2 linked regions of the Saccharomyces cerevisiae S288C genome follow. The gene in region 1 interacts genetically with each later gene. Each region holds a gene or a part of one and is shown on either strand. Other genes may lie near its edges.

Region 1 (5,337 bases):
TGCTAATGTAGTGGAGACAAATATTGACATTCAACTGTATCAAACGTTGTCCACAGTAGTTAAAATGGTGAGCGTTGTATATAACCAGTTAACTTCAGAGATATCCAAGATAGCCATTGCTAGCACCATGGGAAAGCAAATTTTGACGGACTCGCTAGCACCTAAAATTCGTGATTTGACGGAAACATGTCGTCAAGCGATGGATTTATCCAAACAATTGAATGAAAGGTTAAATGTATTAATACCGAACGATTCAAATTCAGAGAAGTATCTGACATCTTTGGAGAAGCTGAAAACGTGGGAGATAATGAATTCGTTCTTAAAAGTAATAATATCAATTCTGGCTAATACTAAAATCGTAATGAGCGACGTGCCTAATTTGAATGAGCTGAGACCTAACCTAGCCAACTTGGCGAAGATTACCAAGGATGTCACTGTGATATTGGACTTGAGTTCATACAAGGCTGTATCAGTAAGCGCCAACTCTCCGGAGTAATATAAAAACTTGCATTGTGAGAAAACGCGAACTTTAGAATACGTAATGGGAGGATCATATACCCCATGGTACTGAAATGTATGCTTTATATATATATATATATATATTTATATATTTATGCATGAAAAATGAGGAGTTCGGAAACAGAAGTTTTAAAAGTTACAGATTTATTGTATAAAAGATACACGCCACTGGTTGAATGTAAATGTTAAAATGAATTGGCATGGTCTAAAAATCCCTCGTAAATCTTGCTTAATTCATAATGGTAACCATGGATACCCTGGGATTCCAAAAATATGGGTAGGCGAACTCTTGTTCGTTCCGCGATACCTTTTAACCTCACAATATCAGTCCCATTCAATCCTGCTATGTTCTTGCTGGCTGAAGACGTTTTAGGGACTTCTTTGCAATTATCATTATCATCAGTTAGAATTACAAATATCCTGTCAAGGATGAAGAAGAGTTTGAATAATTTGGATAAAGTGTCATTAATCTCTGAGTCTTCCATATTTTTGAATGTAAATTTTTCAACGTAATCGATGAGATCGTCCGCAATTTTTATTAAATAGGACCCTTGACCAAAATAACTAGAATATCCGCATGTATCTTTTGGGTTTCGGGAATCTGGGCAATGTCTCTTTTCTTCTGATTGAAGTAAATAGTCTGAGTTTGGAACATGGGCAATAGAATACCAAACGAAGTCAACTAAAGTTTTTAAATCCTGCAGCAGCGGAGTAAGACTGGCATAGCCGTTTTTGATATTCAGGCCCCTGGATTGAACAAATTTTCTTTGAATTTGTAAAAGCTGATCATCAACGTAAGAGATGAATTTGGATTGTTGAGACATTGACAATCTTCTCGGGTGTGACGTTCCATTGTGATCATTTGGCAATAATTCACTCAGCTTTGTGGCAGACGAAAAGGGAGAAGACACGTTTATTCTAGGCTGGAAATCGTCAACATCATCGAGCATAGTTACGTCGTTGATTGTGTTGTTAGTTTCATTGTAAACATCATTGAATTCTGGTGTATGATATCTTCTTTTCTTATTACAATTACGCTGCCATATAACGTTGTCTATGTTAGAATTTACGACATCACCTGAGTCTGCACTAATTTCTACATCTGAGTTTGGATCCAAGTTTAAATCATCAATGTCTTTTTCATCTAGATCATTTAAGTTGTTCAAGTCCAGTTGCTCATTCGGTTGAGCATGTAATGGTGTGTTTGGCTCAGACATCAAAATACTGTGTTGAAATCTTTTATTTTTATAATATTTCTTTCCTTACCAGGGCTTGGAGTCTCTACAACAGTTAGCTTACTGTTTATTCTGCCACATTTCCACCCTTTTGTGGGGCTTCTATTTCAAGGACCTTCATTATGGAAACAGGGCGAGGTTGTTTGTTCTTCCTGCATGTTGCGCGCAGTGCGTAAGAAAGCGGGACGTAAGCAGTTTAGCCATTCTAAAAGGGGCATTATCAGAATAAGAAGGCCCTATGAGGTATGATTGTAAAGCAAGTGGTGTAAAATTGTGTGCTACCTACCGTATTAGTAGGAACAATTATGCAAGAGGGGTCCTGTGCAAATAAAAAATATATATCTAGAAAAAGAGTAGGTAGGTCCTTCACAATATTGACTGATAGCGATCTCCTCACTATTTTTCACTTATATGCAGTATATTTGTCTGCTTATCTTTCATTAAGTGGAATCATTTGTAGTTTATTCCTACTTTATGGGTATTTTCCAATCATAAAGCATACCGTGGTAATTTAGCCGGGGAAAAGAAGAATGATGGCGGCTAAATTTCGGCGGCTATTTCATTCATTCAAGTATAAAAGGGAGAGGTTTGACTAATTTTTTACTTGAGCTCCTTCTGGAGTGCTCTTGTACGTTTCAAATTTTATTAAGGACCAAATATACAACAGAAAGAAGAAGAGCGGAATGAGACCGTTGTATAGCTGCAACCTTGCAACCAAAGATGATATTGAGATGGCAGGTGGCGTAGCTCCTGCTCACCTGGAAGTTAATGTAGGCGGCTATAATACAGAGCAGACAATACCTATAGTAAAGCATCAGCTCGTGAAAGTTGGGAGAAATGATAAGGAATGTCAACTCGTTCTAACGAATCCCTCTATCTCCTCTGTTCATTGCGTGTTTTGGTGTGTCTTTTTTGATGAGGATAGTATTCCAATGTTCTACGTTAAAGATTGTTCTCTTAATGGAACGTATTTGAACGGTTTGCTTTTGAAAAGGGACAAAACGTATCTTTTAAAACATTGCGACGTTATTGAATTATCGCAGGGAAGTGAAGAAAATGACATTAAAAAAACACGACTAGTTTTTATGATTAATGATGATTTACAATCTTCTCTGGACCCAAAACTTTTAGATCAAATGGGTTTTCTGAGGGAAGTAGACCAATGGGAAATAACAAATAGAATAGTGGGTAATGGCACTTTCGGTCATGTTCTGATCACGCATAACTCAAAAGAACGTGATGAAGATGTCTGTTATCACCCTGAAAATTATGCTGTGAAGATCATTAAACTAAAACCAAATAAATTCGATAAAGAGGCTCGAATCCTTTTGAGACTGGATCACCCAAATATTATCAAAGTCTACCATACTTTCTGTGACAGGAACAATCACCTTTACATATTCCAGGATCTTATCCCTGGTGGTGATTTGTTTTCTTACCTAGCTAAAGGCGACTGTCTAACTTCCATGTCAGAAACTGAATCGCTATTGATCGTCTTTCAAATTTTGCAAGCTTTAAACTACCTTCATGATCAAGACATTGTTCACCGCGATTTGAAACTAGACAATATTTTGTTATGTACGCCAGAACCGTGCACTAGAATCGTCTTGGCAGACTTTGGTATAGCTAAAGATTTAAATTCCAACAAAGAAAGAATGCATACTGTCGTAGGCACTCCGGAATACTGCGCTCCAGAAGTTGGATTCAGAGCAAACAGAAAAGCATATCAAAGCTTCTCAAGAGCAGCTACGTTAGAGCAACGAGGTTATGACAGTAAATGTGATCTTTGGTCTTTGGGTGTCATTACACACATTATGTTAACAGGGATCTCGCCTTTTTATGGAGATGGTTCTGAGAGGAGTATTATTCAAAATGCAAAAATTGGGAAGCTGAATTTCAAACTGAAGCAGTGGGATATTGTTTCAGATAATGCCAAGAGTTTTGTCAAAGACCTTTTGCAAACTGACGTAGTTAAACGATTAAATAGTAAGCAAGGTCTCAAACATATTTGGATTGCAAAACACTTAAGTCAATTAGAGAGATTATATTACAAAAAGATATTGTGCAATAACGAAGGCCCTAAACTAGAAAGTATAAATTCAGACTGGAAAAGGAAGTTACCCAAAAGTGTTATCATTTCTCAGGCAATACCGAAAAAGAAGAAGGTTTTGGAGTAATCATAGGATTATCTCTTCCTCTTTCAAACTGCGCGTAGTTCAAAATAAAAAGGTATCTGTGTAAAAAAAAAAAAGTAAGTCAATTGTATGATTTTTAAGTAAAAGTTGCCCTTTTCTACTAGAAACGGCGAGAAAAAATGATAGTAGTGTGCCAAGAAGAATATGAAGTTACTTTTTAAAAGATATTCGTCTAGTCATATTGGTAAGCTGATTAAGGACTCTTTAATCACTCCTGAAATACTACCACAGCTAGGGCGACAGCCATCATCGCATAAACGTTTACCAAATAACAAAAGAACTAACTCAATAACTGATAAATGGTTGAAGGATGCGCTAACAAGAAAAGATAAACTGAATGAAGATAAGCTCCAAAATGTAAATTTACGATTAAATGTGGTACTGACTACTCTACAGAAGCTTCGTACATCCGATAATCCTGCTTTGTATTTTGCGTTGTTGAATCGTATTGGCACAGGTCACATAAAATGGCTAAATAAAAGTGGCCGACAGATTGATGCATTCCCACCTGATCGGCTGCCTTTGGAATTTTATCATGAGCTATCTAATATGCTCTATAAACTATCGCTTCGGTCCGCAAATGACAAAATTGCACTAGCTAAATTTTCATTGCAATTATTGGATCGCTATTATTTTCTTAAAACCAAATCTTTAACTATAGAAGGAAAATTTCGGGCAAACATAAAATTTTTGAGGAATTGTACTCTTTTAATTGTTAAATCCCAATCGAACTACTACTTAAGGGCAATACAGCGGTTGTTCGCGGAAAATTCGGAGGGTCAATTATTAGCCAATTTATCCCAGCTGGCATTTTATGTGGAGACCTCCCAATGGACAAGTATGTTGGATATTTTATCCTCATGTGTACCGGATTCTGGTTTAAGAGGTTCGAAGGAGCGTGAAAGAGCTATTCAATTGTTGGAGTTATTTAGTCCATGCCTAGTCAAAAGTCTAAAAGTAATGATAGCACAAAATATGGAGAATGAAGCTTGTCAGATTTTAAGGAGCTTGTCTGAATGGAACTTTCATTTTGATCAGCATGATTCCTCCAACTTGATACAATTATCCCAGAACCATTCTTGCCTCAAAGTTATTGAAACCATGAATGGATTATCATCAACTACCGCTGTCACTAGGCAATTCGGACTTGAAAAATTACCAACTGACGTGAGTTTGAAGCAGAGCATACATATTTTATCAAAAGATAATTTCGAACCTCTCAAGCAAGATTCATTTCTTCAATTTCTATCGTTTAAATTAAGTGATTTGCCTCTGAACTTAGAAGTATGGAAAAAGCACATTAAGGAGGTTGATGACCAAATGCAGGCTGAGTCCAACCTGCATTCCTTAAGAGCTTTTTTTATTGATATGCTACTGTGTCACTTATC
Region 2 (4,601 bases), on another chromosome or scaffold:
CGGGTGTTCGAACTACGCAATTGATTTTATACGCACAAACATTACAAATCGAAGCAAAAGAAGATGAAATGATATGATATACTGATACAAATATGTATTAAATAAAACATAAGTATTGATGGAAACATGGCATAGAGAAGCGAAGATGCGATAATATCAAATAACTATATGTGAGTTGTGGAAGAAAGAAACGATCACATTATTATAATAAACTAGCTATTTAAATGTTTATTGAAGACTGTTCTGCCCCCTTTTATTCAGTCACGGTATTGGTCAAAAAATTCTTTATGGAAACTTTCCCATTTCTTAATCCATTCCAGACCAGGTGCCAAAAATGTTGTTCTTAAATGGTAAGTACCAGGTTCTTGACCAAACCCAGAACCGGGAACAGTGCAAATGCCAGTAGATTCTAACAACTTCTTACAATAAAATTCATCCGGAGTTAACTCTAAGTGGCGAGCTTCTTGAACTGCCTTGAAAGGTAAGTCTATCTTAGGGAATAAATACATGGCACCTTGAGGCTTTTGACATTCAATGCCTTCTAAAGAGTTAAATGTCTCATACAGTGTCATTGCTCTTGTAATTAACTTTTCATGGATGGAGTTACGTTCTGCTTGGTCCGACTCGAATGATTCCTCCCCTTCCACTGGTGGACGAACCATCAAATCAACCAAAGCTTGACCTGTGACAACGGGACACAATGAAATCGAGGCTAGTTTCAAGATAACTTGTCTCATCTCATGGCTGAATCCAGTGAGTTCCATGTAGCCACCCCTTTGACCACATTCACCAGAAACACCCTTAGAAGTCGAATGCAAAGAAGCTAGCTGAACATTATCGAATTTACCTGGATGTTCCCTCTGTAAATGTCTCAAAATTTTCTTCATAGAATGGAACTTGGTGCCCGGGAAGATATTTTCTTGATAAACTTCGTCAGCTATCACTACTGTACCGTACTTGGCTGCGACTTCAAAAATCTGAGCTATAGACTCAGGTGATAGGACAGCTCCTGTAGGATTACCTGGATTGATAACCACTAGAACTGTAGGTTTGATTTCGTTCTGTATAGCCTCTTTGACGACAGTTTCAATTTCTTCTGGATTAGTTGACCAACCTGAATTCTCATCTAAATAGTATGGTAAAGCTTGAGAATTGTTCAAAGCTAGAGTAGCGGTATATAATGGATATTGAGGAATTGGAATCAAGACACCCGTTTCTGGCCCTCTACAGAAAATTGATAACAAGTAATTGACAGCTGCGGATGCACCAGCAGTTAGGAAAATATCCTCTGGGTATGATATCTCGCCTTCGTCCCTCTTCGTTATAAATTCAGCGACACTTTTCCTTATACCTTCTACACCTTGAGAAGAAGAGTAAGCACCAACAGAACCACCGATATCTTCCATTAAACTCTTTGCACGTTTAATGGCATCTAGTTTAAACAATTTCGAATCAACTAGCTGCTGTTCGTTTTGGTTTAATAGTTCTGGGTATTGTAAGAGAGACAAGACCTGTCTGTAGTAAGTCAGAGGTTTCTGTTGTAGTTGCTGAGGATTACCAATATTGGCGTTGATAATCCTGTCAAATGGCAGAGATTGAGGATCCTTCTCCAGTTGAGCTTTCAATTCTTCAGCTCTCATTGGGATGGCACCTCTAACGGCGTACTTAGCCTTCAAGACATTTTCATTTACGTCTTCCAAAGTCAATTGTTCGGCGGGATAAAACTCGTTATTCGAAGTTTTCAACGTGTGGTGTGGAAAGCGATTCAAATGACGCAGGTCGTTTAGCGAAGATTGACCAGATAATGAACGTCTATGATTTTGAGCAACAATCCAGGAAGAGCTATGTCTCTGTAGGACGGGTCTAACTTTCCTGAAAGCTTTTAACTTTGTACTACTGGCTGAGGTAGAAAAAGGAGTAGTGATATGTGGCATTTTTTCTGCGCTTGAAGTGAGAGTCCTTATATGATATGACTTAATAACGTGAGTTATAGAATTACTCACTGTGAAGTGATTTTTGGCAGACAGTGATAACATCGTGGAGAGAGCAAAATAAAGACTGGGGAAATATATTTATATGCGTTCAATTGAGAAGCAGAAACAATTAAATGCGGGGGAGAAACAAAGAAGCTGGTCCTGTTCTCGAGCAACGTGTGACTAGTATGAACAACTAGAGTAAAATAGCGAGAAAGCAGTAGTAGTAACGGAAGAGCTTTTCCTAGTATGGTCCGCGGGTCACGATCGTTTACAAAGGGCGCAGCAAACTCTAAATACGTCAACCACAGCAGGTCAGAAGAGTACGTGAAGTTGTCTCAACGAAAGGTCGAAAATCGTTAGGCTTGGACCCCTTCAGAATGAAAAAAAAAAAAGACGCAAGAGTGAAAAAAAAACCAGTACTGTAAAAGCAGAAAACGTCTAATGGGAAGTGCTACTATGTAAGATTATATCATGAATGTGCTGTGTATTATATATGGATTATATAGCCACGAATATGCGGTAAATAAACATATGCATATATGTGTGTGGGGCAGCGCTCTGCTGTGCAATCCTTGTTTCTTTGTTTCTTGGGTCGGGATTTGAGTAGCGACGAGCCATCCTCTGCAGAAGGGAAGAAGAAAGAAAGGCAGAGAGGCAAAGAAAGAGTCAGGCTTATCTTATCTTAAGAGATATGCCGCTTGGACCCAAAAGAAAGGGAAAAGTAAGTACGCAGGTGTAGTTTTGAATGAGTGGCAGTGATAGAGGAGACCGGTTATACGATGTGTTGGGGGTGACGAGAGATGCGACCGTGCAAGAGATTAAAACTGCTTACAGAAAGCTTGCCCTGAAACATCATCCGGACAAGTATGTGGATCAAGACTCAAAGGAGGTAAATGAAATCAAATTCAAAGAGATCACTGCCGCTTACGAGATCTTGAGCGATCCGGAGAAGAAATCACATTACGACTTGTATGGTGATGATAATGGTGCCGCTAGCAGCGGTGGCGCTAATGGCTTTGGAGATGAAGATTTTATGAACTTCTTTAACAATTTCTTCAATAATGGAAGTCACGATGGAAATAATTTCCCTGGCGAGTATGATGCGTACGAAGAGGGCAACTCTACAAGCTCTAAGGATATCGATATCGATATATCTCTTACTTTGAAGGATTTGTACATGGGCAAGAAGCTGAAGTTTGATTTAAAGAGACAGGTCATCTGTATAAAGTGCCACGGTTCTGGCTGGAAACCAAAGAGGAAAATTCACGTTACACACGATGTGGAATGTGAATCATGCGCTGGAAAGGGTTCAAAGGAACGTCTGAAGAGGTTTGGTCCCGGTTTGGTAGCTTCGCAATGGGTGGTCTGTGAGAAATGTAATGGTAAGGGGAAGTACACTAAAAGACCCAAGAATCCAAAGAACTTTTGCCCCGATTGCGCAGGCTTGGGGCTCCTGTCAAAGAAGGAAATCATCACAGTGAACGTGGCTCCGGGACACCACTTTAACGACGTAATTACAGTCAAGGGGATGGCGGACGAGGAAATCGATAAGACCACATGTGGTGATTTAAAGTTCCATCTCACTGAAAAACAAGAAAACTTGGAGCAGAAGCAAATCTTTTTGAAGAACTTTGACGACGGCGCCGGGGAAGATTTGTATACAAGCATTACCATATCGTTAAGCGAGGCCTTGACGGGATTTGAGAAATTTTTGACAAAAACCTTCGACGACAGGTTACTAACATTGAGCGTTAAACCTGGCAGAGTAGTAAGACCTGGTGACACCATCAAAATCGCCAATGAAGGTTGGCCCATTTTAGATAACCCTCATGGCCGGTGCGGCGATCTGTATGTTTTCGTTCATATTGAATTTCCACCAGATAACTGGTTCAATGAAAAATCAGAACTACTAGCAATAAAAACGAATCTGCCGTCATCTTCATCTTGTGCCTCACATGCGACTGTAAATACTGAAGATGACAGCAACCTGACTAACAACGAAACTATATCAAATTTCCGGATCATTCACACGGACGATCTTCCAGAAGGGATAAGGCCGTTCAAGCCAGAAGCACAGGATTCAGCGCATCAGAAAGCAAGAAGTTCGTACTGCTGTATCCAATGATGGCATCAATAACTTTTTATTCTATTTTTTTTTTTTTTTCATAAGTTATCCTACCTGTATATATGTATATATATGAAATTCATTTACTGAATGCGGTGAAGAATGAAGTCTTTCGCACCTTCAGTAGAAAAATAGGAAGAATCCCCATCGCGGCGGACATAAAGCAAGCATACAAAGGCCTTCTATCAGAACAGCGATTGCGAACTTGGAGCAACAATGGCGTCCCAGGTTAACGCCTTATTACTGCCGGTCATAGAGTCTACGCCGCTTCATCAAATAACCAAGGTAGCATTGACGACCACACTCACAAGTAAACAAAGCGATTACAAGTTCAAAGAAATAGCCGTGCCGTTAACAAAATCACTACAACTGTACGAGAAGGCGCAAAGAAGACAAGATTTAAGGGCAAGCTTAAAAGCACTGGAGAGTATCATTTACCAAACGCACTTCCAATGGAATAACCCGCTCCCACGACATGCGCATCTCTTCCAAAAACACTA

The links.
Region 2: mutations in MEK1 (region 1) and XDJ1 together harm fitness more than expected from each alone (negative genetic interaction), as found in Saccharomyces cerevisiae (3 studies listed by BioGRID).

The regions. Positions count from the first base shown.
Region 1 is NC_001147.6:993,612-998,948, reverse strand, and holds MEK1 (serine/threonine protein kinase MEK1), read left to right. Parts: upstream 1-2,437; coding exon 2,438-3,931; downstream 3,932-5,337. Other genes in the region: SOG2 (Sog2p), read left to right, coding at 1-496; TFIIH complex subunit TFB6, read right to left, coding at 705-1,736; MNE1 (Mne1p), read left to right, coding at 4,094-5,337. UniProt on the Saccharomyces cerevisiae protein: Probable protein kinase required for meiotic recombination.
Region 2 is NC_001144.5:317,980-322,580, forward strand, and holds XDJ1 (Xdj1p), read left to right. Parts: upstream 1-2,721; coding exon 2,722-4,101; downstream 4,102-4,601. Other genes in the region: alanine transaminase ALT1, read right to left, coding at 258-2,036; GEP5 (Gep5p), read left to right, coding at 4,318-4,601.